Stegostoma tigrinum: one gene and its partners. The protein of the gene in region 2 binds, or shares a complex with, the protein of the main gene of each other region. Links are inferred from orthologs where the notes say so. Each region holds a gene or a part of one and is shown on either strand. Other genes may lie near its edges.

Region 1 (11,096 bases), on a different chromosome or scaffold from region 2:
TCAATGCCAAAGGCACGGCAATCTCCTCCCTGGCTTCCCAGAGGATCTGAAGATAAATCCCATCCGGCCCAGGGGACTTATCTATCCTCACCTTCTGAAGGATTTCTAATACCTCTTCCATGTGAGCCTCAATCCCACCTAGTCCACTAGCCTGTATCTCAGTATTCTCCTCGACAACATTGTCGCTTTCTAGAGTGAATACTGTTGAAAAAAATTCATTTAGTGCTTCCCCTATCTCATCTGACTCCACACACAATTTACCACTACTATCCTTGATTGGGCCTAATCTTACTTTCGTCATTCTTTTATTCCTTAAATACCTATAGAAAGCCTTAGGGTTTACCCTGATCCTATCCACCAACAACTTCTCATGTCTCCTCCTGGCTCTTCTGAGCTCTCTCTTTAGGTCTTTCCTGGCTACCTCATAGCCCTCAAGTGCCCTAACTGAGCCTTCACATCTCATCCTAACATAAGCCTTCTTCTTCCTCTTGACCAAAGATTCCACCTCCTTCGTAAACCACGGCTCCCGCACTCTACAGCTTCCTCCCTGCCTGACAGGTACACATTTATCTAGGACACACAGGAGCTTTTCCTTGAATAAGCTCCACATTTCTAATGTGCCCATCCCCTGCAGTTTACTTCCCCATTCTATGCTCCCTAAATCTTGCCTAATCTCATCGTAATTGCCTTTCTCCCAGCTATAACTCTTGCCCAGTGGTATACACCTATCCCTTTACATCACTAAAGTAAACATAACAGAATTGTGATCGCTATCACCAAAGTGCTCACCTACTTCAAATCTAACACCTGGCCGGGCTCATTACCCAGCACCAAATCTAATGTGGCTTCGCCCCTTATTGGCCTATCTACATATGAGAAAAATCAGAAATTCCCACGGAAGGACTTTGTTCAGACAGAACAGAAATTACAGAAGCGAGCAGAGGTTATCAAAATGATGATAGGATTTGCTAGGGTAAATACAAATAAACTATTGTGAACACAATCGTAAAGTAAGTGCTAGGTGCTTAGGAGTGAAGTCAACATATACGTTCTTCTCCTAAACAAAGGAACCAGAACACTGGAACCTCCTCCTTCAAAAAGCTATAATGCTGAGACAATAAGAACATTCATGGCTGAAATCAACAGATCTTGTGAAGCAAAATTAATAAGAAATATGGAACAAAGTTGAGTGAGTTCAGGTACAGATCGAATTGAATGATGGAATATATTTGAGGAGCTGAATAGCCTGTTCCTGTTCCTACTTACCTCAGCACAGGCCTTCAAACAGGTCTTTTTGAAGCCAAGCAGTTCTGAAACATCTTTCCTGTTGCAGTCTGTTTCACAGGTTCTCCATACAATATGTCTCAGTACCACAGCAAGACCAGCTCGACAAAAATTCCCATCCTTTTCCACCAGAGCAGGCAGACGACAACTCTTAACCACAGGAGGCAGTTCCTGCTGGGAAAGGATATTGATAGGAATGTTGGTTGGTGCTCCTTTCATCCACAAGAGATTGCTAGCACTGTCTTCGTTAGGCACCAGGAACACTTTAATTGATGTGGATTCACAGTAGGACATTAAAAATAAAACAATGGATGTATGGAGAGGAAAGACTGTGTCCTCTGTGTGGTTGGACAGTTCCAGGTACAGACATGCTTCATGCATGCAATTGTTCTTCATGTCCACAACTACCTATAGAGAGGTGAATAGCAGCTCATTAAGAATTCAGTCATAGATGCTACAAATTGATTTGCATTTTTTTTAATAAAAGGTATGCTGTTAAGTATTTCTTTCTGTCACAATCAAAGGAATCAAAATTACGGCAACTGAAAAGCGATAATTTAATATTTCTGCTGGTTCTTCCAGGGAAATCAAACAGGAAGGGTTGAAAGAAATTGAAATAATTGAAATTGAAATAGCTTACTACTTTCCAGCTTAACAAGAGCTAAAATCAAACTAGAATTCCAGGCAAATGAAAGGAAAATACAGAAGATCAAAAATAACTGTCATATGCTTTTGAACAAAATACACAAAATATTAAAATAGAGTGAATGTTCATAAAAAATATATAGCACTTTTTTGTTTAAGAAGAGGCCAGATAGCCATAAGGGCATTGTGGAAGAATTGACACATGGCCCCCATGAAACATAGCAAAGGCACTATTAGAGTCATAGAGCATTGAAACAGACCCGTTAGTCAAATTAGACAATGAACTGATCGTATAATTATAATTATTATTCTGAATATACTTAAAAAAGGCTCCTGCATGGCAGTTAGCACGGATATTCTTCAACTTGACACTGAATCTCCTGAAACAGGGTTCGTGGGTTAAATATTAATTAAACTTGCACTTACATAGTGCATTTGCAACTTAACTAACACTAAATTCTCATCTTAATGTCTCATATACAGACTTGGAACTGTATTACTGTTCCTTCACTGTCATTGGTCAAAATTCTGGAACTCCCTTCCTAAAATGATTGTGAATGTACTTGATACCAGAAGTTCAAGGCAGCTATTCTACCACCTTCACAAGGGAAAAATCAGGATCAATAATAAGAAATTTTTAAAGCAAAACTTGTTTGAAGCCTATCAAGACTGAAGGTTACTCACAATGGCAGCATTGGCTCAATATCAGCATTCTTACATGCAAGTTCAAAGTTTGAGAGTTCCAGTCATACTTTAGAGATATACTACTGAGATATTATCATTATCCAAGCTGAAAGTTCAGTACAGGAGATGGTGAGTTTGGAATAGCCTCTAAGGTAGATATAACTGATTCTAAGGAATTGACAAAACCAAAGGAGAACAAGTGATGGTGGCAACCCTGAACCCTTAGCATAAGAAACAATCTGGTCATTATCTTGCAGCTGTTTGTGGGACCTTCCTTTGTAGAAATTGCCGTCATCAATTCCCACTGAATTCAACTACAACAGAGTCTCAACTTCAAATGGGCTTCATTGGCTATGAAGGTCTTTGGTTATCCTGAGGCCATGAAAGGGTGCTGTATGTTGTAGGGCATGCAGCAGCTGCTCCTGGTTCTGCTCTGCTCTCCTTTCAGTAGATTGTAGCGTACCCTGTTTGCCTCACCCTGTCTAAACACTCTCTGATCTGCCCATAGTGCTCACAAACAAAAGCTTTTCATTGTACTTAGGTATATATGATGATAATAAATCAAATCAAATAAATATCCTGCTACTAATCCCTCAGGAATACTATTCTGGGGACTTTATTAATAAGAAGTGGTGAAGAATTATCATAAAACGTTTTGGCAGAAATGGCTCAGTGCTGAGTAACAAGAAGTGTTTATTACATAGCTACAGAGATAGAAGACAAGAGTATTGTCTAAGAATAATTAGGCCAACCCAGGTTACATGGTTGTCAATTGTAAGGGTGAGACCAACAGCTTAGAACCACGACCTGGCAGATGAACTAAACTCATCCGGTGGGCAGAGCTATAGTAAGGCTACAGAGTTAAACACTTCAGGCCAACTGCTTTGTGCAACATTAAATTTCTGATTCAAGAAAGAAATGATATGCTGCTACCTTAGATTGAAAACAAAATCTAACAGAGTTGCTGCAAAATACTTGGAAAATGCAATATAATGTGGATAAATATGAGGTTATCCACTTTGGTCACAAAAGCAGGAAGGTAGATTATTATCTGAATGGTGGCAGTTTAGGAAAAGGTGAGGAGCATTAAGACCTGAGTGTCATGGTGGAATAGTCACTGAAGGTTGGCATGCAGGTGCAGCAGGCAGTTAGGAAAGCTAATGGCATGCTGGGCTTCTTAACAAAAGGATTTGAGTATCAGAGTAAGGATGTCTTCCTGCAGTTATACAGGACGTTGGTGAGGCCACATCTTGAGTTTTAGTCTCCTCGTCTGAAGATGGCCATTCTTGCTACTGAGGGAGTCTAGTGAAGGTTCCCGGGATGGCAGGACCGACATATGAGGAAAGACTGGACCGACTGGGCTTGTACTTGGTGGACAAGTGTGAAATAATGCACTTTGGTAGGAGTAACCAGAAGGCAAAGTACTGGGCTAATGGTAAGATTCTTGGTAGTGTAGATGAGCAAAGAGATCTCGGTGTCCATGTACACAGATCCTTGAAAGTTGCCACCCAGGTTGACAGGGCTGTTAAGATGGCACACAGTGTTTTAGCTTTTATTAATAGAGGGATCGAGTTCCGGAACCAAAAGGTTATGCTGCAGCTGTACAAAACTCTGGTGCGGCCGCACTTGGAGTATTGCGTACAGTTCTGGTCACCGCATTATAAGAAGGATGTGGAAGCTTTGGAAAGGGTGCAGAGGAGATTTACTCGGATGTTGCCTGGTTTGGAGGGAAGGTATATGGTCACAGAAATTTGAGGGTGCATACATGAGGATCAATGGTCGGCACAACATTGTGGGCTGAAGGGCCTGTTCTGTGCTGTACTGTTCTATGTTCTATGTTCTATGTTGCTTGGTATGGAGGGAAGGTCTTATGAGGAAAGGCTGAGGGACTTGAGGCTGTTTTCATTAGAGAGAAGAAGGTTGAGAGGTGACTTAATTGAGACATACAAAATAATCAGAGGGTTAGATAGGATGGATAGGGAGAGCCTTTTTCCTAGGATGGTGACGGCGAGCACAAGGGGGCATAGCTTTAAATTGAGGGATGAGAGATGTAGGACAGATGTCAGAGGCAGTTTCTTTACTCAGAGAGTAGTAAGGGAATGGAATGCTTTGCCTGCAATGGTAGTAGATTCGTCAACTTTAAGTACATTTAAGTCATCATTGAACAAGCATATGGACGTACATGGAATAGTGTAGGTTAGATGGACTTCAGATCGGTATGACAGGTCGGCACAACATCGAAGGCCGAAGGGCCTGTACTGTGCTGTTATGTTCTATGAATTTAGAAGAATGAGGAGGAATCTCATAGAAACATATAAAATCCTGATGGAACTGGACAGGCAAGAATGGGAAGAATGTTCCCAATCTTGGGGAAATCCAGAACTAGGCGTCACAATCTTAGAATAAGGCGTAAGCCATTTAGGACTGCCATGAGGAAGAATTTCATCACTCAGACAGTTGCAAACCTGTGGAATTCCTTCCCACAGGAAGCCATTGAAACCAGTGCATTAGATATATTCGAGAGAGAGCTGGACGTGGCCCTTGCTGCTCAGGGGATCAAGGGGTGCGGAGAGAAAGCAGGAATGGGATACTGAGATTGCATGATCAGCCACGACCATATTGAATGGTGGTTCAGGCTGAAAGGGCCAAATGGCCTACTGTACTCCTGCACCTATTTTCTAAGCTTCTGTGTTTCTACGTACTTCACTAATTCCAAGTCCTGCTTTGTTGTAAGAGGTTTGCCTACACGGGCTGCCTGACGATAAACTGGAACGTCTGAATGAAAGCAAAATGCAGCGGAGTGAAGCGAACACAGAGAATGCTGAGGAAACTCAGCAGGCCTGGAGAGGGAAACATGTGGTTAAGGCTTCTGAAGAGGGGTCATACCGGATCCGAGTCGTTAACCCTGTTTCTCTCTCCACAGATGCTGAGATTTTTTTCCCTAATGGAATATTTTCTCAGCCCAGCAACTGATGGAGGCTTTGACTGAAGGGCAGCGAATGGGGCGGCGTCCTGCAGCTGGAAACCTGGATCTTGTCGGGAAGACAAAGCACAGGAAGGAATTGAAAAATGAGCACAACTGAAGAGATTTTTATAAATACCAGTATTCCATCACCTCCACCCCACATAAACACAGCAACCCAATTACCTGCAACCCACTTGGCTCATCAATGCCCGGGTACCGGGGAGGGGGGCGAGTGCTTTAAACAGACGGACCGGATGTTACCCGTTGCTAGGACTAAAAGTCGGGGACGAATATAAATGTGGGACCGGAAGTATCGCTAGGCAGATGCTGAGTTGCTAGTATGCTGATATTAGAAGCTTCCTGAGGTTGCAGCCCTGATACTAATCTGTAATTGATATATGTATTCGACATATTCTTTCACGTTTGTAGGACATGGCTGTTCCCAACCTAGAGCTGGACCCACTCTTCCTCAAAGCCTTGGGTTATCTCCATTCAAAAAGCAAAGACTCGGCAGAGAAACTGAAAGCCCTGCTAGATGAGACCTTGGCTAGAGGCGGTGATTCCAGCTTTCGACAGGCGCAAAAGGTACAGTTTCCTCGTATTTAAAGTAATACTTTTAAAGGTTTATTTGAATGAGGTAGTTGGGCATAGGGAAATAGCTGATTTAAAATGGACATGAAGAGAGTCAGAGAGGAGCTGGAGCTTATTTTTGTAGGTTTTATTATTGGAACACAATGTTTGAAGCAATGAATGAGACAGAAGTTGCTACATTCTTGAAAGGAATTGTGTACGGTGCTGTGAAGAGAGGGTTGCACAGTGCAATAATAAATGTTTCTTTTCCTGAGAATATTCAGCACATCAGGTAGCAGCTGCAAAGAGAGAAAAATAAATTTAATGTTTCAAGTCGGTAAACTTTCATCAGAGCAGTAGGCTTTGGATCTCTCCAGCAAATGGGCTTCATTTGGTGCTGTAACTGTGCAAGAGTGGGTTTTGTTTAAGGGATGCTCCCCTTATGAAGTGATCTCAGCACTTCCACTGTTCAGTTAATTACTTGGTGACTGTATCAAGTATTTGGATGTGAATGCATAATTTGTGAGAAAAGCATAAGAGATAATCTGCAAAGTTATACAAAAAAAAATGAAGAGGGTGTTTAAGCATGAGGGGAAGAATGACAGGGAGAGAAATTAAAAAGTTGGTATTTTAACAAAATATTGAGAAAGTGAAGGTCTAAGTAGTGCCTTCCTAACTGAGTATCTAATCTGCTCTAATGTAGAGCAGAGAAATGAATTACTCAATTCTCTTATAGTTTGCAGCAAAGCAGAATACATCATTACAGAGATCACCTAGTAGCTAGAACAATGGTAGAAAACTAAGTGCAGGTTCTTGGCTGAATGAAGTTTAGAGTGGTTTTGTTATTGGAGACAAATGGGATGGTACTGGAAACCAAATACTGAATTGAATGTAATTTATGAGGATTTATTCATTGAAAATACTGGTTATCATATTTCTCGGCATATATACAACATAATGATCATATGTGAAACATTGCCACAAAAGATATTTTGAAACATGACCCTTACAGTTTTATCTGCCTCTCCAAGATAAAACCTAATTGCATCATCAAAAACCACATTCACTTTGATGTGATTTGTATGATGACTTCCAGAAGGTCACTGTATAGACATGAGATTCAATGTAGATGCCTATAAAATGTTTATTTCCAATTTTTGGTTTTTGATACTCCTGCATATTCAATTTATCCAAGAGGATAGATAGTTAGCATGCACCCAAACACTGGCAATGCTGTTGCAAGGTGAACTTCCAAGAGATGTCTTCAGATCTTTGTTTACTTCCATGTTGTGCTGTATAATTCTTCCCAGCCCCAAGAGCAGAGATGAGTTCAGAAATCTGCTCTGTTTGGAAATATTATAATGCAAAATTGCATCCAGTCACTCATTGTGGTGTTGCTTCAAACTCTAAAGTGTGAATATGAGAGAATACACTAAGTGATAACCTTCAGACTATTTTTGGCACATTTTTAAAATAAGCTAAGATGATTCGCTGGTGACTCTTTCTAAAATATATCCGTATTAGTTTATCTTGGAAGGTAGTTCTGTTAGTTCTGAGGGCAACAGTTCTAGATTCAACTGCCACTGTAGGACCTGAAAACATGGTCAAGCTGGCACTGCAGTTCACTACTGACATACTCCTACACTGTTGGTGGGATCTTATCTTTGGATGAGAATTTAAACTGAGTCCATGTTTGCCTGTCCAGATGAATGTGGAAAACCTTTTTAAGAGGAGCAGCATTCTTGCCACATCCCTTTTCAATCACCGTTGCCAAAAACAGATGAACTGCCATTTTTTCTCACGAACTCAACAATGTGATAATGCTATATTTATGCTATCAAATTAGCTGTGGCATTTATCTTTCTTTATTCATGGGATATGGATGTAACTGATTGGCCCAGCAACTCTAAGTGCACTGGAGGAATCGATTGTGAGCTGTCTTTATGAACTCCTACAGTTCTTGGTCTGTGGTGCACCCACAGGACTGTTACAGGAAAGGTAGTTACAGAATTTTGACCCAGGGATTGAGTGGAACGGCAAGTTCCCCTCCAAGCCACAACACCATCCTGACTTGGAATTTTGTGGCCATTCCACTCAGTGTCTGGGTCAAAATTCTGTAAAATTGTTCATGTGTTCTGTGAACTGGTTTATACATGAACAATGACTACACTTTGAGGCATCCTGAGGATGTATAATTTGCTATATAAATGCAAATTCTGACTTGACATTTTTTTTGAAAGGATGATCTATTGTAACTTTGGAACAATTTACGGTGGCTTCCCTGTCTGATCAATTTCATTTCTCTGCTGTGACAGACTGGAAAAATTAAAGCCTGAATTCTCCCTGTCTTATTGTAACTGCTGCCTTACGCAGCTTATCTCCAAGTTGTAAGGCTGTCTTAATAAAGAACTTGCAGACCAGCAATTTCATTGTTGTGCCTTTAAGGCTTCATATTCAGGATCACACAGAGTAAGTTGTTTCAGAGGGTGTAGCTCATTCACTACTCCTGTATCTTTGAATGACCATCAAATATTTATTATCTTCCTGTCTATGTGCTGGCATTTAATGAGATGTCAGCTAATCTCTACTTAAACTCCATTCACCCAGTGTTAATTACTCCTCCATTGTTAGCCATTGTTTTATGCTCCTTGCCTAGGACATTGAAACACCCAAGGTGACTGCCAGCATCAAATCCAGTTCAACAAAGCAGGAATCCAAAGTGTCTTCATCTCTCTCACTGGGCAACAATGGTAAATCCAGCTCCAATGAGAAAACCAAGAAGGAAGCTGAAAAGAGACCTGGTGAAAAGGTTAGAAGTTTCTGGCTAAATTTGTTCTGCAACTGCAAATAGATGTTTCCATATAGAAACCATTCATAGTACAAGAGAAAGTTCATGCTGTTGACAGTGAATTATAAATAATCATGATTTGGAACAACATAACGGATATTTTGCTGTTCACATGCAAAATTTCAAATTTTATCCATAAGAAAGTTGTCTTCAGCTCACTGAAGGGCAAAAGATCAGGTTCATCTTAAATTCTGTACATTGTACTTAGCCCAAAAACAAGGAATATAAAATTTGAGGCACTGTTCTTTATCTTATAATTTAATTCATAATGATTGACTGATTAGTTAACCCCATGGATCTTTCAAATTTTTGAAAGGTTAAACTAGATCCTTTGGAGGGAGTTGACCCCCAGAAAAAAGCCAGATTGGAGAAAGCGGAGAATCGATCCTCTCCCATTACTGTTCAATCCAGCAAGGAGCTGCCAATGCCTGACCTACCTGGCTTTGAGAGTGCAGAGGACTTTGCCATGGAAATGGGACTGGCGTGTGTCGTGTGTCGGTATGAGAAATTGTCTTTTTACATGTTGATGACCTGAACTTTGACACACTGAGCTGAGACCATATGATGTGTTCAGGTTAGGTAGAGTTAGGAACTAAGGGAGATAATCAGATTAGTGCAGATGGAGGTGATTCATCCTTATTTAAAAGCTATACTTTCTGTCCTTGCTATAAATCTTTTCAACGTAAATTCCAACATCCCTGTTTCTAATGAAAGCTGTCATCTTAAATACATCCATTTGCTATTAAATAATGCTGCAGTCCTCCAATGTATCTGTTAGTTATGAAACTGCAGGTGAAAAGGTAGAATTACCCAAAGGTAATTTTACTTATTCAAGAGGTAGGTTTCTGTGTTTCAAAAGAAAGTATTATTTGAATGGCAAAAACTGCAGAAAGCAGCAGCACAATGGAAATTGGGAGTTCTTACAGAGTCATAGAATTCTACAGCATGAAATGCTTTTGCACAAAACACAAAAAGCTAGCAAACAGATGCAGCAAGTAGTCAGGAAGGCTAATGGAACACTAGCCCTCTTCAATGGGGTTAGAGTACAAAAGTAGGGAACTCGAATTGCACCTGTACAAAGAGCTGGTGAGACCACGTCTAGAGTACTAAGGGCAATTTTGGTCTCCTTGCTTAAGATTTCACTTCATGAGAGGCAGCTCTGAGAAGGTTAACTGGAATGATCCCCGTGTGGAAGGATTGTTTTATGAGCAAAGGTTATACAGCGTGGGACTCTACTCACTGGAATTTAGAAGCATGAGAGGTGATCTCATTGAAACACACAGGATTCTTAAAGGGTTTGACATGTTAATGCTGAGAACGTTTCCACTTGAAGGGTCTAGGACCAGAGGGCACAGTCTCGGAATAAAGGGGAGCCAATTTAAGAGGAGAAGAAGGAGAGGAAGTGAAATTTCTCCTCTCCGAGCATTGAGTGTCTTTGGATCGCCTTGCCAGAGAGAGCTATGGGGGTGGAGTCCTTGTGTATATTTAAGACTGAGATAGATTCTTGATCATTTAGAGAATCAAGAGACTGGGACAGTGCAGGAAAGTGGATGTGAGCAATGTCCGATCAACCATGATCCTGTTGAAAGGCAGAGTAGGTTGAGCGGCTCAAACCTTGTTCCTATTTCTTAAGGTCTTATGGTTTATTTTGTGGATTTGAAATCAAATATTCTAGTGGAAGAATAAACAGTTCTCAAGAACATTGAAAAATGTTGAATAGAGCAAGTCACTGCCCAAGGAGTGGTGGGCGTTGGGAAAACTGCATCGTTGTTGTTAGGACTTGTCTTCGCCCTTAGTCAGCCGTAGCAGAAAGGAGTAAAACAAGATTGGGCAACTGGCAATACTACACCTGCAGCACAAATCATCATTTGGCAGCCACAACAAGACTGTCGGGTGGATTGTTTTTCCTTAATGGGCAGATCATTTCAAAAAGATCAAATTTTGCATTTCACAATGTTTTCAAATGGCTGTGACAAGCCATTCTTGCTTTCATCTGAGTACTTCAATTAAAACGTGCTTCCAGGCACTTGTATCACTTTCTGATTTTTCACAGATATGCAACTGAAATAAAATTCCTTGAAAGTTATGTAAATTGTCTGT
Region 2 (11,228 bases):
CAGAAAAATCTGTTAGTACATCAAAATCCAAAAATCGATACTTAAGACGAAAGACATTAGGGACGTTTCTAAATGCCAGTTTAAATCACACAAGAAATTCAATCAGAGACACTTACCTGTGGACAAGCGGTAAAGGTAAGAAATGAAGGGCTGAGGTCATGTCTAACCCACAGTCGAGCATAATGGTGGTTGATTTGAACTTCAAGACATTGCATGGCAATGTCGGATGACCAGACAAGCAGTACTGAGGGAGAAAGTAAAACGATATGGATTTCATTGCTGATAGAGCATACAAACATGCATAAAGTGTTCCGCAACGTCCAATACCATTTGAGACTTTTCAGATTCTGAAGCCCTCCACGGCCGTATGTAGTAGACCTGGACAACATTCAGCATTGGGCGAACAGATAAGTGGCAATTAATTCCAGTGTCACACAAGTTTCAGACAATGACCACCCCCAACCAGAGAGAGTGTAACCATGTTTCCTCGACATCACCACGACTGAATCCCCCACTATCAACATCCAAAAAATAGCATGGCGTTTGTTTACCATTGGCCAGACACCGATTTGGAAGAACCATACCGTTATGATCGCAGTGAAAATGGACCGTCAGCATTCAACTTCCATAATTTGAATTTAATGCATGAAACTTTCATGAATTAAAAATGGTTTTAAAAAGGACACTGCTGACCTAAATTGGCTGCTGTGATCACCTGACAACCTCAAGGAATTTATGTGGAATACAAAAAACTGGCTGCATTGGAAATACCATTTTAATCAAAAGGCACTGAAATTCAATAAGATATCAAGAAATTTGTATCTCGTGTTTTACTCGCACTTGCACGATGATTATACCTACTCGGAGATGAAATGTTGCCCACAACTAGCCAATTTGGAATGAAACAATGACAAATACACCAAAATCTGTAAAGGAGTGGTATATCAACAGCAGCTTTTGAGCAAAGAGACAGAGAAAGAGCAATGTACACTAATAACGGCAAGTACACTGGAAGCTCTTCTCTCTCCTTCATTCAATCTCAGTCCCACAAACAGGCATTGATGAGAAAGAAACTCAGAAAATTGATGCACTGAGTATCCAAGCTCTGAAAAATGTGTCATTGATAAAGAAATAAGACAATGGTTAAACAGTTGGACTCTCACATTTTCATTCTCACAACCCACGGGACTCTTAAAAACTGTAACTGCATTTGCCTTTACTTTCCTGTCTGTACTACATACCTCTCTCTGCCCTCAACCTTTTTGCAAGCTCTGCATTTGTGTACCTTTATAATGTCATGCTTTCTTGTATTTTTATAATAAAACACTCTTTTGCACTCAGGAAAACCTTGGAATTTTCTCTTCTTCATTCTTAATCTAGTTAATTAAGTTTGATTGAAGTGTGGTTGTTATGTGCTTTAAAATAACAAAAATTGTTGCAACTGATCACTTGAATTAGATTAGATTAGATTCCCTACAGTGTGGAAGCAGGCCCTTCAGCCCAACAAGTCCACACCGCCCCTTGAAGCGTCCCACCCAGACCCATCCCCCTATAACCCACACACCCCTGAACACTACGGGCAATTTAGCATGGCCAATCCACCTAACCTGCACATCTTTGGATTGTGGGAGGAAACCGGAGCACCCGGAGGAAACCCACGCAGACAGTCACCCAAGGTGGGAATCGAACCCAGGTCCTTGGGGCTGAGAGGCTGCAGTGCTAACCTCTGAGCCACCATGCCGCCCTAAAATAGAAAATAAAGAGTGGAGTTATGACCTCTCCTCACCTAGTTATAACAATATTAATACTGTGGCTACAATGGCACATCAGAATCTGGGAATTCAGTGTTAAAGAACTCACTCCCTGACTTCCCAAAGGGTGTCTAACTACTTGGCTCAAATCAGGAATGTAATGGAATACATTATTCTTGCCCAGAAGGTGGTTTCAACAATGCCATCCAAAACAAAGTAGCCCACTCAACTGGCATCCCATCTGCCATCTTCAACATTTATTGCTGTTTCTCTTAGGCAATTCCTCAGTATCCAAAGATAGTAAGAACTGCAGGTGCTGGAGTCAGAGACAACAAAGTGTGGAGCTGAAGGAACAGGTAAGTTCAGAAAATCCCTGAAGAAGGGTCCCGACCCAAAATGTCAACTTTCCTGCTCCTCTGATGCAGCCTGGCCTGCTGTGTTCCTCCAGCTCCACACTGTTATCCCTCAGTATCCAAGGTGATTTCCTTCTATTCTGGTTCAATTGGTTTTAGGTTGGCTGATAAACCCAATGCATGATCTGCAGTCCTGATGGTTTGGCCAAATGACACATTTGGGAATTTATGTACCGTCTCCACCTGACAAAGTTTCTCGATGTGTTTTGTGCCTTTCTACTAAAAACCTTCTCCATTTTGGTGTGTTACCAGCCAGGCTCCCATTAGTCAGCAGGGATCTTTTCAGTACTGTTTTGAAGACACCCATAACCCTTAAAAAAAAAAATCACTAGCTCTACCATCAACATACAGTGGCAACTGTGCATAGCATCAACAAGATGCACTGTCACAACTTGACAAGGCTCCTGCAACAGAACCTTCTAAACCTGCAATCACTCCCAATGGACAAGGGAAGCAGACACATGGGAGTATGACCGGCTTGCAAGTTCCCCTCCAAGCCACACACATATTTGATTTGGAACCGTACTATCATTCTTTCACACTCACTGAGTCAAAATCAGGGAACTCCTTTCTTAACAGCGCTGTGGGTGTGCCTACACCAGATTGACTGCAGTAGTTCAGGAAGGTGACTCACCACCAGAGTCAGAAGGGCAATTAGAAGATGAGCAACAAAGGCTGCCCTTCTCATGGACACTCACATTCAAAGAAAGAATTAACAAAGCAGAAAGAAAATATTTGGCTCCTTTTAAAATGACAATACTGCCCACTATCCCTACGTGAATTAAGTCAAAACCAAACAAACTGCGGATGGTGGAAATCAGGAAAAAAAAACAAAGTCGCTGGAAAAGCCCAGCAGGTCTGGCAGCATCTATGAAGGAAAAAAAGAGAGTTAAGATTTCGGTTCCGGGTTCTGAGGAAAGGTCACCGGACCCGAAACATTAGCTCTGTTTTTCCCTTCACAGATGCTGCCAAACCTGCTGGGCTTTTCCAGCAAATTTGTTTTTGTTCCATGTATAAAGTCTCCTGTTTAACAGCAACTTGCATGTCACACAGATTTTATGAAAGAGTTTCCAGCAGGCAGGAGGTCTCATCCCAACAGCTGCCTCATTAAAAGGCTTAAATTTCCAAGTTATTAAAGCTTCTTTTTTTCAGTTGCCATGCAGGTCAGTTGCTGCAGTGACTGACAGCCACCACCACACAATCTATGCTTTATGTAAACAATTTTAGAGGGGTGGGTTGCAAAAATGAATGCCAAGTTAAAGCAGAAAATATTAGAAGGGCTTGGTGTGCTGGATCGTGTCCTAGGCAGCAAAATACATAACCACAGTGTGGGGCAAGGGTGCCCTGGTCAACCTTTAACCCTTGGCCAACATCACTACAACTGTGTCCAATTTTGGGCCCCACACCTCAGGAAGGTCATACTAGCGCTGGAGGGTGTCCAGCGGAGATTCACATGGATGATCCCTGGAATGGTAGCTTTAACGTATGATGAACGGCTAAGGATCCTGGGATTGTTCTCATTAGAGTTTAGAAGGTTGACCGGAGATCTAACAGAAACTTACAAGATAATGTATGGTTTAGAAGGGTTGGACACTAGGAAGCTGTTTCCGTTAGGCAGGGAGACTAGGACCTGTGGGCACAGCCTTAAAATTAGAGGGGGTAAATTTAAAACTGAAATGAGATGACATTTCTTCAGCCAGAGAGCGGTGGGCTTATGGAATTCATTTTCGCAGAGTGCAGTGGAGGCCGGGACGTTGGATGCCTTCAAGGCAGAGATTGACAAATTCTTGATCTCAGAAGGAATTAAGGGCTACGGGGAGAGTGTAGAGAAGTGGTGTTGAAATGCCCATCAGCCATGATATAAATAGCGGAGTGGCCTTGATGGGCCGAATGGTCTTACTTCCACTCCTGTGTCTTATGGTCTGATGGTATGGTCTAACTCCAATGATTGCACTGAATTCTGGAACAGTATCATCCTATGTTCTTATCTGATCATTAGCACAATCCTGATGGTGGGATTTTGATGTCTATAAATTAGCCACTGCCTCTCTTACAATACAACCAGTGACTGCACTTCAAAACTCTTGCATTGGGTGCAAAGCATTATGAGAGGTTCTGATGTTGTGAAGGGTGCTACATAAATCCACATCTTTCTTAACAGCACAGTCGAAATACAAGCTAATAAGAAATAGCTGGATACAAAGTTTGTGTGGGGCGGATGGTGAGAGGGAAGACATTTTATGGACCATGGATAGTTTCAGAGGTACATTTCTCATCCCTTTTGGTGAGAATAGATAAAAATACTCAGGGAGGGAGAAAGGGCGAAGCAATTAAACGTAACCCTCCAAGCAGACAGTCCAGAGCATCCAAGTGCTCCCAGGAACCAGAGCAGACGGTCTCCAACGCCAGCAGATTATTCCAGACATTGACTGAAGCACAGAAACGTAAATAATGTAAGTGGAACACAGACATGAAACTGCTTATATCATTTACATTGAAATGAAATGAAGCTGCAGACCCTTTTGATTTCTCTTGGTCTGATTTGACTCAACCTGCGTTCGCCATGAATACACAATAAGCACACCTCCTACTGTATGTGAGATGGGTTGAAATACATAAAAAAAATCCTCACCAGCTTCATCGTCCCTTTCAAGCAGCACAAACCGTTTCCATGGACAACCTACCCTCCCCAACCCCTCACACTCTTTCACCTTCTCTCCTCACGCGCCAGAAGATGAAATGTCAGAGTTCGAGGAGAGGAAGGCGCAACCGTCGACGTCGTCGTCGTCGTCGTATGTGGGGAACGCGCGTGCGCGACCCATGAGCCCCGATCGCAGGGAAGGCTGGGAACTGTAGTCCGAGCGCCGACCACGCCTCTCGCGTTACGGGGCCGGAAAGCTGAAGTTTCGGGTCGAGATCCTCATACAGAAAGGTTATTCTGAAGAAGTGTCGCGACCCGAAACGTCAGCCTTCCGGCTCCTCTGATGCTGCCTGGCCTGCTGTGTTCATCCAGCTCTACAACCTGTTATCTCAGATTCTCCAGCACCGGCAGGTCCTACTATCCCGTTTTGATGGGGGTTTAGTGTAGGGAGACTACATGTCCCGGCGTTCTGCGCGAGCGCACCTGCGCACCCCTGAGCAAGAGGCGGAGGGCGGGGATGAGGGAGGGACGGACGGACGGAGAGCTGGCCGCCCCCCGCCTCTTGTCGCTGTGGGAGCTTGATGTTGTTAATCATGGCGGGTCTGAGGCAGACAAAGGCGTTGAGACCTACTCCTAAAGTGCAGATTTAAGAAAGTTTCTCGCGTGGTGTTTTTCTCTTTTTTTGAAAGAAGGAAAATTTAAAAATATAAATGAAACAGCTAGCTCCTTACTGGGTAAGAGAATGCACCCTGATTATGTTTAAATGGATGAGATTATTTCCAAGAATCGCAGAGGAAGCTGATAAGGTGGTAAGTGTTTTATTTATGCTTGACGGAGGCTGTTTATTTTTAATTTGTGGGTAGTAATTGGTAAGTCTGAGCTGTTTGTGTCAGGCTAATGTACATAATGTTTTGTTTCATCTAAATACTATTTAGTGTGTATGTGCTCATTGTGCAGAGAATCAACTCAGCTAGTTATCAGAACTGTCAAATTTCAAGGAAAATGCTGAGATTTATAAGAAGAAAGGCAACACGTAGTTACCACAATCAAATGTGGTTTTGTTTTCCAGAGTGCACTGCACCAAAATACTGAATGTCGTTGAAAATAATGTTCCTTAAATTGTGAGATATGATATTTGGCATTAGGTCTCAATGGTGTTTTGAATTTAGGAAGGATTCTCCTTCGGAGGTTACGCAGGCAAGTTTCGAATGGGTTATTTTGTTCTACACAGTCTCACTGTTGTGACTACTTACGGGCAAGTTTCCATATGGAGGCAAAACACATGGAGCTGTGTGACTGAGTCATTCCAGTCTTCTGTGCTGGAAGGATGCTATCAATTCATGTTATTGTGTTTAGGGCCAGGTAAACACTTTAGCGATCACAGGTGGCCTAATATTCTTTAACTGTGACTTGAGTTTCTGCATTGTATGTTTTGAATTGGAGTTTTACTGTCTTATTTGTGCTACAGTATGAGCCATTGCTCCTGGATATCTTGTTAGATGAAGGCTATGCTTGTTATTGTTGTTTCATGTAAATTTAAAGCTGAGTATGGGGATATTTGTTAAAGCACAGATTTTAATGGATTAGGTTTCCAATAAATGGTATATTGTAACACAACTAGATATTTTCAAATGTGCTGGAAAACACACTGGGATTACATTTTATGCGTGTTCTGTCATTTTTTAACGTATATCAGGGACTTGTGCAAAGACAATAGCTGAATACAGTGGAGTTCTTAAATCGTGAGGCAGCTGTACAAACTTGACTGTGAATGGAGTAGCAGTGGTAGTCACATGTGGCCTTGTTAGAATGTCTGAAAGTACTTGAGTGAATGAGTGACAGATTTGGATCTGCCTCACTTAAAAGTGAACTTTTCAGCAGGCTGCATTAGTTTTTTTTTGTTTTGACTCAGCATGGTTCCTCTTATGATACACTACAACTCTGAGTTCACAGCTCAGGCATGGAATTTTGTGGATAGAAAAGCATTGGGGGGAAGAAAACTCTTGTACTGGTACAGAATTGCCTGATGCTGATTTAAGCAGAAGTATCTTGTCTCAATGCAAAACATGTAAAAAGCATTTGAGATTATTTTTCTCTTGTTGGCAGCAATCAGAACATAAATACAGCTAGTGATGAGCAAAGACCATTGAATTCATTTTTGAACTCACCCAACAGATGGCTAACTGCATCTTCAACTCCACAATATCTTCAGCTCCAATCTTGTGGGCTTGATAAATTTGGGGATTTATTACCATTTTTGTGTGGAGAATCTTTGGCTAAGGCCTTTGTTATTTGGCTGAGACTTTATACTGGGGTCCATCTGCCTCTTGTGCTATTTTGAAGGACAGTAAAATTATCTCCAGTGTCATGGCCAATGTTGTATCACTCACCATTACAAAAACCCAAAATCTATCTTTCTTTGTGGGTGAGCTTGCTGTGTACAAATTGGCTGTAGACCATACATTTGCAATGTCTTAGAGTCATGCAGCATACAGATGGGCCCTTGACTCACCATGTCTACACCAGACTATACTGATCCCATTTCCCATGCTTAGTCAATAGCCCGTTATGCCCTGGCATTTTAAGTGCTCATTCTGAGGTGCTGAAAACATTTGGTTGACATTAAATTCCTTTTGCTGTTTACTTGCCCAAATATGAACTTTTTGCAAACCCTAATTGCAGTTCTCAATAAGCATTTTTTTTAGGGAATCTAGCAAGCTGATAACTTCTACCTTTATCCCCACAGTGTAGTGTTTGTACAAAGATTCCTGTAACCAATTTTTACTTCCTTCACATAGCATTATGCCTCTTACAAATGCACAGTTTCCTTTTTTTGTCCAGTTTCTTATCCAGACCCACAATGTTCTCAGGATTTCCATGTATTGTAGTTCAACTAGTATCCTTTCAGTTGGGAATCTGTATGCTATTCTTTGGCAAAATGCAAAACTTGCATCACACAGTATCTCATTATTAAGATTTTTCTAAAATGCTTCACATAATATGCTTTTGAAATGTAATGACTGTTGTTTTAACTGCAAGCACAGTGGCTAGTTTATGCATAGCAAGACCACAAAGAGTTAGTGAGACTAATAATGTACTTGTATTGTTCATGGAGAGAGAAATTTTGGTTAGCTAGCTGGAGAATTCCTGATCTTTTAATCATAACATGGGGCCTTCTAGATTCCTGAGAGCTGTGTTGAGGTGGCAGAAATGATCAAAGATGGAAAGAAGGAAATCTTTCTTCAGATACAGCTGTAACCACTTTCAGTTTATCAATCCTTTATGTTTTTTATTGCTGTTGGCGGAATCCTGTGTTTAGCCTTTTTTATGAAGTTGTATGAACCAAATGTTAATTTATAATACAGTTGAGTGGATGTGTCTAGATATCTATCTATATCTTGAAATTTGCAAAGCGACAGACAGATTGTACCAGCAACAATATTGCATTTGCAACAAACAAGTTATTTTGATAATGACATCCAGCCTACAGTAATACCAAAGAAGTCTCTCAAATCCTCTGTATGTGATCAGTAAACCTTCTGTAAGGCCTGTCACCATGCACAGAGGGTTCTGAAAGAACATTTTGGAATTTACAATATTTCCTGCAGAAAAGAGATTCAAGCCAGCTGCAACTGATCTATCAAGCCATCTCTGCCATGAGTTTGTGTGTGCAAAGTGACTTTAGCTACAGATCAATGTTTGGGATGATCTGTGAATTACCCATTTCTCCTGAGTTTATGTCACTTGGCTAAAATACTTAAGATAAACTGTTGCAGAGTTTTGTTTTTCATCAAATCTGAAGGTTGTGTGTGAGACTTAGTTTTCAAGAAATGTAGTATATATATTTTCGTAAAGTGTTTAAGAATTAACTGGGTTAGTATTTCAGAACCATGATTGTAAACAGCGTCCGGAGTATTAATGGGAAATTTATTTACATGGTCAAGAATTATGACAGGGGAAAAAAAAATTGGAAGACATTGTCCTAAACACACAAGTAAATTAATCAAGGAATGACTTTACCCCAGCAAAATCCAAAGAATGGAAAGCTTTTGGGCAGTCCTAGGAAACTTGATGCAAGTCAGATGCAAGTATAGTTTTTCCTGGATCCCCTTGTTCAGATCAGTGAGGGAATAAGTTAGCTCAGGGAAAGAGTTTATTTTGTGAAAAATCCAGACCCACAGTATTTAGTTGGAACCCTGCAGGCTATTTAAAGAAAGCTTAAGCTCTTTAATTGTGTGAATATTCAAGAAAAATGCTTTACAGATCACAAGACTGGAACTGAGAAGAAGTTAAGTCAAACTTACAGGTTTTATGGGATGAGAAAATCTTTTGGTGTTTTGATTAACTGTATAGTGGTAGTGTTGGGGAATAGATGGGATTTTGTTTTGCCCTGTATTTTGAAGTATTTCAAACTGTTGTGTTAGCTTGGTTAGATCTATTCTAATTTGATTACAACTGTGTAATAAACTTGTTATATTGGTGAATCAAAATCTATAGCCTTCTGTGTTTGTTTCAGTGAAAGACTGCCATTTTAAAGTTGAAAAAAAATTATCTTTAAAGCCACATTTAGTTCTGTGATCTGACTTGCCCAATAGTAACATCAGCTGAGACTATCACACTAACATTTTTTTTCCGCTTTACACCCATACTGGATGTGAGTTTGCTCCCTGAGCTAGAAGGTTCGTTTTCAGACGTTTTGTCACCACTGTAGGTAACATCATCAGTGTCCCACTTTCTATTTATCTGTTTAGGTTTCCTTGGGTTGGTGATGTCATTTCCTGTTCTTTTTGCATCACCAACAAATGACATCACCAACCCAAGGAAACCTAAACAAATAAATAGAAAGTGGGACATAACACCAGCGCTTCACCGGAGGCTCACTGATGATTTAACCTACAGTGGTGACAAAACGTCTGAAAACGAACCTTCCAGCTCAGCAAGCAAACTCACATCCAGAACCTCAACCTGAGCTACAAATCTTCTCAAAACTCGCTTACACCCATACTCTTTTTCATTGCTAAGTAGTTGGAATTTGAGGTAATCTGATCTTAATTTGAAATTGTAAATTGGGACTTTTTATTTAAATCTGAATTTGTGGGAAAAATTACAACTAATAGAATCGGAATAGGATCCTGTTTACATTCAAATATCTGCACATCTTGGCTACACCAGTGTCAATACTGCACATGAGCCTCTTTCCATTCAACTTGTTCACACACTGTTAATTTCCTTGCTTGCATTTAAGGTATGAAAGTACTTCCTTAAAAAATGTTGAATAATGTGAATAAGGTTCATTATTATCCAGAGGTTGGAGTTTTCGACACCAGAAGGTTTAGTGGTGACCTGTTTTCTCTTTCAAAACAAAACACTAGTTGTCAGGTGTATTTGCCAGTTGACTTCCAGCATTCTGTCCAGTGGCTATCTTTCAGCTGTGAGCTTGGAAAATGAGTGCCTGAACATCATTTGCCTGTAGGGGCATCACCGCTGAGCCCATCCTGTTATCAGTGAGTTTTTAGCAGCTGTTTGGTAGCAATAAACAACTTGTCAAATATCATTTTGTCAGTTTATTTTTAATTGTGAACCTTTACCTAAAATGTCTCACCTGTTTGTAGATATAACCATCACAGCGCAAAAGAACCACAAGTTTTATGTAAAGTGATTTAAAACACTGTTAGCACAGTTGGATGCCTCGTAATTAAACTTATTCCTTTTGACACTCTTTCGTGGAGTTTTTGTTGGGTATGTGATGCTCATCTCTCAGCACCTACACACTGAAGAATCAACTGCTGGACCCGTCCTGTCCCAGTGACATTACTACTCATCTTTACTCTGTCCATCATAACTATACCAATAGAAAGTAAAGTTCAGAGGAGAAATATTTGAAGGTGAAGAGGGGATGCTACGTTAGTCATTTAATTTTCAAATGAAATCAGTATGCACATTGAAATCAATTAATTACCCACTTTTACTAAAGCTAGAAATGCTGGTCAGAGAAGTGGTTAACAGGGACTAGAGGCTTTGAATTATAGGGAGAGGCTGTTTAGATTGAGCTTTTTCCCTGGAGCATTGGAGGCTGAGAGGTGACCTAATAGAGGTTTATAAAATCATGAGGGGCATGGATAGGGTGAATAGCTGAGGCCTTTTTCCCAGGGTAAGGGAGTCCAAAACTAGAGGGCATAGATTTAAAAAGGACCTGGAGAGTAACTTTTTCATGCAGAGGGTGGTGTGTGCATGGAACAAGTTGCCAGGAAATGGTGGGAGCTGGTACAATTTCAAATTTAAAAGATACTTGGATGGCTACATGAATAGGAAGAGTTGAGAGGGATATTGGTCAAATGTTGGCAAATGGGACTAGGTCAGTTTGGGATATGTGGTCAGTATGGAAAAGTTGGACCGGAGAGTCTGTTTCTAAGCTCTGTGACT
Region 3 (10,200 bases), on a different chromosome or scaffold from region 2:
GAAATTTGGCACGAGCTTAGAAGGAACTTGTACGTAACGAGTGTCATGCCGAGTACCTGAGCCACAATATCTATGACGTCTTCATTTGATATACAGTACTATAGTGACTGTCTTCTAGTCTGCAGCCAGACCTGTAAAAGATCCAAGCACCCACTACATCAGTATATTATGTTCTGCATGCTGTAATGCTCCTGCGATCATCAGGCAGAAAATCCTCTGATTTACTGTGGGTAGAGAGAGTGAAGATTTGCTGATGTTTCAGTATCTGTGACCAGTTTGAAGACAAGCGTTTCGTCTTGTCAGTGAGAGTTTGGACATTAGATTCTTAACATTAGGGGGAAAGTGCACTCCACTTCATCAGTGGGAAGCCAAGGCTAGTGACACAAAAACCCTATTGTTAACTTACTGTTAAACTCTGTCTCAATCATTTCTTTGTATAATATTTTCTAACAAAATGGCGCAGGATTATGAAGCCTTTTCACTGAATTTCTATAAATACAAGTGGCAATAAATTACAACGCAAAAAAAAGCAAATGAATGAGTAAAACTATTTCAACTTCTGGCAACCTGAAACAAATTATGAGGGGTCTGAAACAAGCAATCTAACTTTACCCATATTACCTCAAGGAAAAACTGCATGAATTGTTAAAAACAGTTAATGCTATAGTGTACAGAAGGGGCCCCTTTGGCCCATCGGGTTTGCACTGACCTACATACACTAATCCCACTTTCCCGCATTGGGCCCATAACCTTGATCATCATGATATTTCAAGTGCTCATCCACATACTTTTTAAAGAAGTCTCTGCAAGTGACCTACCTCCACTGCCCTGTGAGGCAGTGCATTCCAGACTATCATCTTCCTCTGAAAAACTTTTTCCTCAAATCCCCTCCAAACCTACTGCCTTTCACCTGAAAAGTGTGACCCTTTGTTATTGACAGTTCAACTAAGGGAACAGTTGCTCTTATTCTTCCGTTTATGCCCCTCATGATTGTACAGCTTATACAGAATCACACCACAAACAACATATTAACAGTATAAACTGGACTAAAGCATCAACCTGCTTTTATATTGCTGAGGAAAAGAAATATGCCATCAAAGCTTTTCATCTTGCACTCATCAGGACCAAGCACCATATCTCAATGGGAACAACAATTTATATTGGATGAGAAAAGGGTGCATATTGGTTGGCAAGTTAACCCTGACTAGTAGAGGGGCTGTTTGAAAAATGTACTAGGGAACAGTTAAATGCCATGAGATAATGGGAACTGCAGATGCTGGAGGATCCGAGATAACAAAGTGTGAAGCTGGATGAACACAGCAGGCCAGGCAGCATCTTAGGAGCACAAAAGCTGACGATTCTGGCCAAGACCCTTCATCAGAAAAGGGGAAAGGGGAGAGGGTTCTGAAATAAATAGGGATAGGGGGGAGGCGGGTCGAAGATGGGTAGAGGAGGAGAGGTGGAGAGGAGACAGACAAGTTAAAGGGGCGGAGATGGAGATTGTAGAGGTGAGTGTAGGTGGGGAGGTAGTGAGCAGATAGGTCAGTCCAGGGAGGACGGACAGGTCAAGGGGCGGGATGAGGTTAGCAGGTAGGGAATGGAGGTGCAGCTTGAGGTCGGAGAAGGGGATAGGTTGGAGGAAGAACAGGTTAGGGAGGCGGGGACAAGCTGGGCTGGTTTTGGGATGCAGTAGAGGGAGGGGAGATTTTGAAGTTTGTGAAGTCCAGCAAACAACTGCACCTCCCAGTCGCAAACCATTTCAACTCCTCCTCCCATTCCTTAGACGACATGACCATCCTGGGCCTCCTGCAGTGCCACAATGATGCCAACCAAAGGTTGCAGGAACAGCAACTCATATTCTACTTAGGAACCCTGCAGCCCAATGGTATCAATATGGATTTCACAAGCTTCAAAATGTCCCCTCCCTCTACTGCATCCCAAAACCAGCTCTGCTCGTCCCCGCCTCCCTAACCTGTTCTTCCACTCACCCATCCCATCCTCCCACCTCAAGCCGCACCTCCATTTCCTACCTACTAACCTCATCCCGCCCCCTTGACCTGTCCGTCCTCACCAGCCTGACCTATCCCCTCCCTACCTCCCCACCTACACTCACCTCTCCTGGCTCCATCCCTGTCCCTCTAACTTGTCTGTCTCCTCTCCACCTATCTTCTCCTCTATCCATCTTTGATCTGCCTCCCGCTCTCTTCCTATTTATTTCAGAACCCTCTCCCCATCCCCCTTTTCTGATGAAGGGTCTAGGCCCGAAACACCAGCTTTTGTGCTCCTAAGGTGCCGCTTGGCCTGCTGTGTTCATCCAGCTCCACACTTTGTTATCTATGTTAAATGCCATGCTTCTGTTCAAATTCACTGCTCTTGGTTAGGATGGTTCTTGAGATCATAATCTCTTGAATCAGATGATTGTGTCACCAACTGGGAGAACCTCCTTGGTCTAAGACAAATTGTGGCATGGGACTCTTTTCTTCAATCTGCAAAAGACAGATTCAGCTTCAGTTCAGTGTCTTGTTTGCGCTGTGGAATTTCTGACTATGCATCATCCCACTGGTACTGCAACAAATCAGCTGGATGACAAGGACAACACTCTCATTGGAGTTTCAATCCACAGTCTTGTAGCACAGACGGGCTTAGACCAAGACAAACAATACCATTTCAATTAACAGTAATAGCAGGCCACCTTTTATAGGATTTGTCACTGCACAGAATTTGTAGCATGTATTCTTGGGGAGCATTCATGGGTCTTGCTGGTCATGTACAACTATGAAACCATCTGGGGCACTACATTCAGCATGGAGCACTGATCCTCAACATGGGTATAATGGCCTTGGGGGGAATACAACACAGATTCTGCAGAATGACACTGGGAGAAATGGGGGATAATATTTTTCAGTTATTCATTGTATGCACTTTTTGCTAGCTGGCCAGAATTTATTATCCATCCCAAATTCTTATTGCAAGTGCTGCAGTATATGGCATATAGATACACCCACAGGGTTTTAACATGACAACGGTAAAGGCAAGGCATATATTTTCAAGTCAGGTTGGTGTGTAGCCTGGAGGGGAATTTGCAGTGGTGGTTTTCCCATGTATCCGTTACCCCTGACTTCCTAGGTGACAATGGTCAAAAATCTGGAGGATACTTTCTAAAGAGCCTTGGTAAGTTGCTGCAGAGCAGCTTATAGATACACATTATCCACTGTGACTGTGCCTTGGTGGTGGAGCGTGTGAAAATTGAAAGTGGAAGATGAGGTGTCAAATTAAACAGGTGGCTTTTTCTTGAATGGTATTGAATCATCTGGTGTTGTTGGTGCTGCACGTATCCACATAAGCAGGGAGTATTCCACCATACGCCTGACTTATGAACTGTAGAAAATGGGCAAGTTTCAGTTCCTGGTCAATAGTAGCTCCCAGGATGCTGATAGTGGGGTACTGAGTGATGGAGTGACATTGATGCTAAGGGCCAGATTCTTTTTGGTGATGATCATGGTCTTGCACCCATGTGACAAACTTTACTTGCCACTCACTAGTCCAAGACCTGCTGTTGTACAGGTTTTGCTGCAGGTGGATGTAGAATCATAGAATCCCTAAAACATGAAAGCAGGCCATTTGGCCGATCTGGTCTGCACCAACACTGCAAACAGCATCCCACCCAGAGCCCCCACTCCCCCCCCCCCCCCCACACACACCCCCTATCCTTGTAACCCTATATTTCCCATGGCAAATCCACTTAACCCAGACATCCCCAGGCACTATGGGCAATTTTAGCACGACCAGTCCACCTAACTTGCATTCAGAGATAATGGGAACTGCAGATGCTGGGGAATCTGAGATAACAAAGTGTGGAGCTGGATGAACACAGCAGGCCAAGCAGCATCTTATGAGCACAGAGACGCTGCTTGGCCTGCTGTGTTCATCCAGCTCCACACTTTGTTATCGCCTAACTTGCATATCTTTGCACTGTGGGAGAAAACCACAGCATCTGGTGGAAACCCTTGCAGACATGGGGAGAATGTTGCCAAAACATTGAATGTATTCAAGAGGTGACTAGATATGCCTGGCCCCAGTGGCCTAATGGAGAAGGCACTGCCCTCCCAAGGTAGGGATTGCGGGTTCAAGTCCTGTCTGGAGTGCACTGAATTCTGTCGTGAAGCCCTGCTTGTTTGCAGTCGGTTCCACGGTGTAATGGTTAGCAATCTGGACTTGGAATCCAGCTATCCAAGTTCGAATCTTAGTTGGACCTCCAATTGCTGTGTCCCAATGAGTTGCTTAAAAAGGGGCAGCACGATGGTTAGTGCTGGGTTTGATTCCAGCCTCTGGTGACTGTCTGTGTGGAGTTTGCACATTTTCCCTGTGTCCGCATGGGTTTCGTCCCACAGTCCAAAGATGTGCAGGTCAGGGTGGACTGGCCATGGGAAATTGCCCGTAATGTCCAGGGATGGGTCTGGGTGGGACGCTCTGAGGGCCGTTGCGGGCACCACATTATAGGAAAGACACAAATGCACTGGAGAGAGCACAGGAGCAATTTGCAGGAACAGTTCCTGGAATGAGACAATTCAGTTATGAGGATAAGTAGGAGAAGTTGGAACTGACCTCCTCGGAAAGAGGGCAGGGGATCTGATAAAGGTTTTCAAAATCATGAGTGGGCTTTAAAATGTAACGTACAAAATCTACAATTTTAAATTATATTCCAACCATTGATTCACTTTGGAGCAAATATCTACTTTTCCACGTTAAAGTACTTTCAAGGCTCTCAAATTTTGACAGCAGTAACTTTAAACCTCTTGCAAAACAGATGTTTTTAAATAATCAAACCTATCTAAACCTTCAAGATATTGTACAAAGTTAAAGCTGTATGGTTACGAAAGGTTGCCCTGGCACAGCTGCTGAACAAATATCCACGTTCCACATCAAAGTTATTTGTTTTAAAAGGGGCCTTGGGTTAGGCCTCAGGCCTAAGCAGGAGGCCGTTTTCCTGAGGGTCGGTGCGGGAGGGGGAAGGAGCTGAGCAGGAAGGAGAAGGGGCAACGGCAGGGCACAACCAGCTGCAGTCTCAGGAGAGGAAAGCCGCCTGACCTGAACCACTTTGGTGAACTCCTCATACACCCGCTTCTTGAGATGCGCCGCCATGGCGTAGCGAAGCAGAAGGCACAACAACGACAAACTCAAAACCGCGCGGCAATTGCCGAATTAACGGCTTCTAGGCTCTCAGAGGCTTCCGTAGGCATCCGTGGACCCGCCCCCCCCCCCCCCCGAAACCACCGGACGGTCCCCGCCTCTCGCCCTGGCCCCGCCCCCTCGCCCTGGCCCTTCCCCTCGCCCTGGCCCCGCCCCCTCGCCCTGGCCCTTCCTCCCCAGCGCACATTGGCAACGCCCCCTGGCCCTGGTCCCACCCTTTCTGACCCCACCCTCCACCTTTCCACATACTGTCACCCCTTCCCCTCATTCTCCGTCTTTGCTCCTCTCTCCCCTTCCACCTTCACCCCCTTTCCCCATCACTTCTCTCCCCATTCAACCCATTCTTACTCTGTCCCTCCCACCACTCCGCTCCCTTCTCCCACTTACCCTCATTCTCGGTCTCTGTCAACCCCTCCCTCTCCGTCCCCTCATTCTCCTTGCATCCCTGTTCCCTTTCTCCCCCTTGCCCTCTCTGCCCACTCCCCTGCGTCCTGTCCCCTCCCCACTTACCTCTGCTGACCCACGCCCCTCCTATCCCCTCTTCCGCTCCACGTCCCATCCTTTCGTTCCCCACCTCCTCCCATCCTTTTCATCTCCCACCATCTCCCATTCTCTCCCCACAATCCATTCTGCCATCTCTCTCTCTGCCATTTCTCCCTCCACTCCATCTTTCCCGCCCCCAATTTCCCATCTTTCCCATTCCCCCCCCCCTTCTGCCTCACCCCTCTCATAACAGATGGTGGACTTTGAGTTCAACAGACATCTGGAATTAAGACTTTAATGATGACCATCAATCCATTGTCAATAGTTGGAAGAACCCATATGGCCCATTAATGTCTTTTAGAGAAGGAAATTGCCATCCTTACTTGAAAACAACAAAATATTGGAGATCACAGTGCATCAGACAACATCCAAGGAGAGAGAGCAAGCTAATGTTTCGAATCAAGATGACTCTTCATCAGAGATCGAAACGCTAGCTTGCTGTCTCTCCATGGATTCTGTCTGATCTCCTGTGATCTCCAGCATTTGTTGTTTTCAGTACACATTCCAGCATCTGCAGTAATTTGCTCCGGTCATCCTTACTTGCTTTGCCTTTCCTGTGACTCCAGACTCACAATGCAGTTGAGAGATAATGGGAACTGCAGATGCTGGAGAATCCGAGAGTTTCCCGCACCTCATCCCTCACACCCCGTCCCCTCAATAACTGCCAAAAGAGAATCTCCCTTGTCCTCACATACCACCCCACCAACCTCCAGATACAACGCATCATCCTCCGGCACTTCTGCCATCTACAATCCGACCCCACCACCAAAGACATTTTTCCATCCCTACCCTTGCCTGCCTTCCGGAGAGACCACTCTCTCCGGGACTCCTTTGTCTACTCCACACTCCCCTCCAACCCCACCACACCCGGCACCTTCCCCTACAACCGCAGGAAGTGCTACACTTGCCCTTACACCTCCTCCCTCACCCCCATCCCCGGCCCCAAGGTGACTTTCCACATCAAGCAGATGTTCACCTGCACATCTGCCAATGTGGTATGCTGTATCCGCTCTACCCGTTGTGTATCCTCCTCTACATTGGGGAAACCAAGCGGAGTCTTGGGGACCGCTTTGTAGAACACCTCTGCTCGGTTTGCAACAAACAACTGCACCTCCCAGTCGCGAACCATTTCAATTCCCCCTCCCATTCCTTAGACGACATGTCCATTCTGGGCCTCCTGCTGTGCCACAATGATGCCACCCGAAGGTTGCAGGAACAGCAACTCATATTCCACTGGGGAACGCTGCAGCCCAATGGTATCAACGTGGACTTCACAAGTTTCAAAATCTCCCCTCCTCCTACTGCATCCCAAAACCAGCCCAGCTCGTCCCCTCCCCCATTGCATCCCAAAACCAGCCCAGCTCGTTCCTGCCTCCCTACCCTGTTCTTCCTCTCACCTATCCCCCCTTCCCACCTCAAGCCGCACCCCCTACTACCTACTAACCTCATCCCACCCCCTTGACCTGTCCGTCTTCCCCGGACTGACCTATCCCCTCCCCACCTACACTCACCTCTACTGGCTCCATCCCCACCTCTTTAACTTGTCTGTCCCCTCTCCACCTATCTTCTCCTCTATCCACCTTCGATCTGCCTCCCCCTCTCTCCCTATTTATTCCAGTTCCCTCCCCCCATCACCCTCTCTGATGAAGGGTCTAGGCCCGAAACGTCAGCTTTTGTGCTCCTGAGATGCTGCTGGGCCTGCTGTGTTCGTCCAGCTCCACACTTTGTTATCTCACAATGCAGTTGACTCTGAACTGCCCTCTGATTAATAGGGAGTGGGCAGTAAATGCTAGCCTTGCCAGCGGGGCGTTCATCCCATGATGAACAAAAAAAGACTGTAAGTTTCTGATTCCTGGAACCATTCTTGTAAATCTGCCTCCAATCTTTCCTATAAAGTGGTACTCACAACTATACACCATCCTTCAGCTGAGATGTAACAACAGATCCCTGTTATTTTCACAGGAGATCAAGTGGTACAAGTGCAAAGAAACATCTTTATTACATAGAACTGGAGTAAGAACAAAAGGACAAATGGCTGGATGTTCCGCTATAATCCATTTGCCATCCTGACCTGAGGTGAACAAGATCTTACTAAAGCAACGACCACTGCTGGAATTCTATGAACGATCTTGTGCCCTTATCCAAGGGAAGATTGTTTTTGGAGGCAGTGCAGAGAAGGTTCAGTAGGATGACACCAGGTATGGGAGGACTGTCTTATGATGAGAGGTTGAATAGATTGGGCCTGTACTCATTAGAGTTTAGAAGAATGAGAGGAAATCTAATTGAAATGCAAAAGATTCTGAGGGAACTGATCGGATCTATGCTGACAGATTATTTTAATTCATAGGATATGTTCGGAGCAGGGGCATAATTGCAGAAGAAGGGGTTTCACATTTGTTATAGAGATGAGGAAGAATTTGTTCTCTCAGTGGGTAGTGAATCTGTGGAATTCTTTAGGAACCTCGGAATTGGAGAAGGCCATTCAGCCCTTTGAACCTGATCTCTGTGATTCAAATAAATCATGGCTGCTCTGTGGAGTTAGGCCATATCTGGTCGGCATGAACGAGTTGGGCAGAAGAGCCTGTTTCTATGTTGTATATCTCTATGACTCTAAGTCCACTTTAACAGCATCCATCCACTTGCCTCTGGCCACCACCGTTGTCGCCTCTCCAAACATCCCTATGAGGTTTGTCAAGCATGACTGACCCTTCATTATAGACTTCAATAATTTCTCCACCACCAGTGTCAGCACAAAGGGCTCTCAAGGGCGTGTTGTTAAATGGATTCAAGATTGAAACAGGCAGATTTTTAACCAGTAAGGAAATCAAGGATTATGGGGGAAAGATAGAAAGTGGAATTGATCAGCAATAATCTTGTTGGATAAGGCTGAAGGTAATGAAAACTGACAGGAACTGAGAATAGAGATAATGGGAACTGCAGATGCTGGAGAATCCAAGACAATAAAATGTGAGGCTAGATGAACACAGCAGGCCAAGCAGCATCTCAGGAGCACAAAAGCTGACGTTTCGGGCCTAGACCCTTCATCAGAGAGGGGGTTGGGGTGAGGGTTCTGGAATAAATAGGGAGAGAGGGGGAGGCGGACCGAAGATGGAGAGAAAAGAAGATAGGTGGAGAGGAGAGTATAGGTGGGGAGGTAGGGAGGGGATAGGTCAGTCCGGGGAAGACGGACAGGTCAAGGAGGTGGGATGAGGTTAGTAGGTAGGAAATGGAGATGCAGCTTGAGGTGGGAGGAGGGGATAGGTGAGAGGAAGAACAGGTTAGGGAGGCAGAGACAGGCTGGACTGGTTTTGGGATGCAGTGGGGGGAGGGGAAGAACTGCGCTGGTGCATCTTCGGTCCGCCTCCCCCTCTCTCCCTATCCAGGTGCTGGTGTTGTGATGTGATAATGGGAACTGCAGATGCTGGAGAATCCAAGATAACAAAGTGTGAAGCTGGATGAACACAGCAGGCCAAGCAGCATCTCAGGAGCACAAAAGCTGACGTTTCGGGCCTAGGGCCTTCAAAGATCCTAGGCCCGAAACGTCAGCTTTTGTGCTCCTGAGATGCTGCTTGGCCTGCTGTGTTCATCCAGGAACTGAAAATAGACAGTTATGTGAATGGAATTACACTGGGTCATTCAGGTCCAAATAAGGCACACACTTGGCACAGAGACCTGTTTACAAAGAACCTGAAGAAATCCCTTTGTTCAACAACACTTCGAAGATCAATGTTGTGCAAGAAGGTACCTTACATCATGAGGCATGGTCGAGACATTGAATAGAGTTTCAGCCTGGCCAGCTGCAAACTCTCCTGGGTAATAATGTTTGGGTTTAGTTACAGAAATCAGGGTAACGAAAGATTGATAATGAAATGTGAGGCTGGATGAACACAGCAGGCCCAGCAGCATTTCAGGAGCACAAAAGCTGACGTTTCGGGCCTAGACCCTTCGTCAGAGAGAGGGATGGTTTCTCTCCATCTTCGGTCCGCCTCCCCCTCTCTCCCTATTTATTCCAGAACCCTCTCCACATCGCCCTTTTCTGATGAAGGGTCTAGGCCCGAAACGTCAGCTTTTGTGCTCCTGAGATGCTGCAGGGCCTGCTGTGTTTATCCAGCCTCACGTTTCATTATCTTGGATTCTCCAGCATCTGCAGTTCCCATTATCACTAACAAAAGATTGATCTATCTGGATGAGGGTGTCGCTGCACAGGGCAGCATTTATTGCCCATCCCTAATTGCCCAGAGGGCAGTTCAAAGTCAACCACATAGCTGTGGGTCTGGTGTCACATGAAGGCCAGACCAGGTAAGTATGGCAGTTTCCTTCCCTAAAGGACGTTAATGAACCAAGATAACAAAATGTGGAGCTGGATGAGCACAGCAGGCCACGCAGCATCTCAAGAGCACAAAAGCTGACATTTCGGGCCTAGACCCTTCAGATGGGTTTTTCCAACAATCAACAGTGGATTTGCAG

What was found.
Region 1: ints9 (region 2) and ints12 share a complex: the UniProt entries of both Homo sapiens proteins name them as parts of the integrator complex. The link is inferred for Stegostoma tigrinum from reciprocal best matches to the Homo sapiens genes INTS9 and INTS12.
Region 3: the proteins of ints9 (region 2) and ints4 are in contact, whole or in part, in a cryo-EM structure (PDB 8RC4), measured with the Homo sapiens proteins. The link is inferred for Stegostoma tigrinum from reciprocal best matches to the Homo sapiens genes INTS9 and INTS4. Residues at the interface, in NP_060720.2 of Homo sapiens: Lys2, Tyr4, Lys18, Ser21, Thr22, Leu43, Val44, Gln45, Glu87, Glu89, Leu90, Asp92, Asp97, Thr122, Glu145, Arg146, Val147, Pro148, Lys159, Glu174, Ser176, Thr177, Ser192, Gln195, Phe206, Gly207, Ile379, His380, Ser384, Asn385; in NP_291025.3 of Homo sapiens: Leu53, Gln54, Leu57, Gln58, Arg61, Lys62, Pro86, Ser87, Leu90, Lys91, Ser94, Gln125, Gln129, Asp132, His164, Gln207, Asp208, Pro209, Arg210, Arg212, Asp244, Tyr245, Glu246, Gln247, Trp296, Phe837, Gly840, Leu841, Val842, Val843.

What each region holds. Positions count from the first base shown.
Region 1 is NC_081354.1:10,699,369-10,710,464, reverse strand, and holds the start of ints12 (integrator complex subunit 12), read left to right. Parts: upstream 1-5,869; 5' UTR 5,870-6,010; coding exon 6,011-6,163; intron 6,164-8,804; coding exon 8,805-8,957; intron 8,958-9,312; coding exon 9,313-9,494; intron 9,495-11,096. Other genes in the region: gstcd (glutathione S-transferase C-terminal domain-containing protein), read right to left, coding at 1,267-1,680. UniProt on the Homo sapiens protein: Component of the integrator complex, a multiprotein complex that terminates RNA polymerase II (Pol II) transcription in the promoter-proximal region of genes.
Region 2 is NC_081362.1:89,094,005-89,105,232, forward strand, and holds the start of ints9 (integrator complex subunit 9), read right to left. Parts: upstream 5,086-11,228; 5' UTR 4,806-5,085; coding exon 4,797-4,805; intron 245-4,796; coding exon 117-244; intron 1-116. UniProt on the Homo sapiens protein: Component of the integrator complex, a multiprotein complex that terminates RNA polymerase II (Pol II) transcription in the promoter-proximal region of genes.
Region 3 is NC_081359.1:108,915,162-108,925,361, forward strand, and holds the start of ints4 (integrator complex subunit 4), read right to left. Parts: upstream 5,228-10,200; 5' UTR 5,143-5,227; coding exon 5,089-5,142; intron 1-5,088. UniProt on the Homo sapiens protein: Component of the integrator complex, a multiprotein complex that terminates RNA polymerase II (Pol II) transcription in the promoter-proximal region of genes.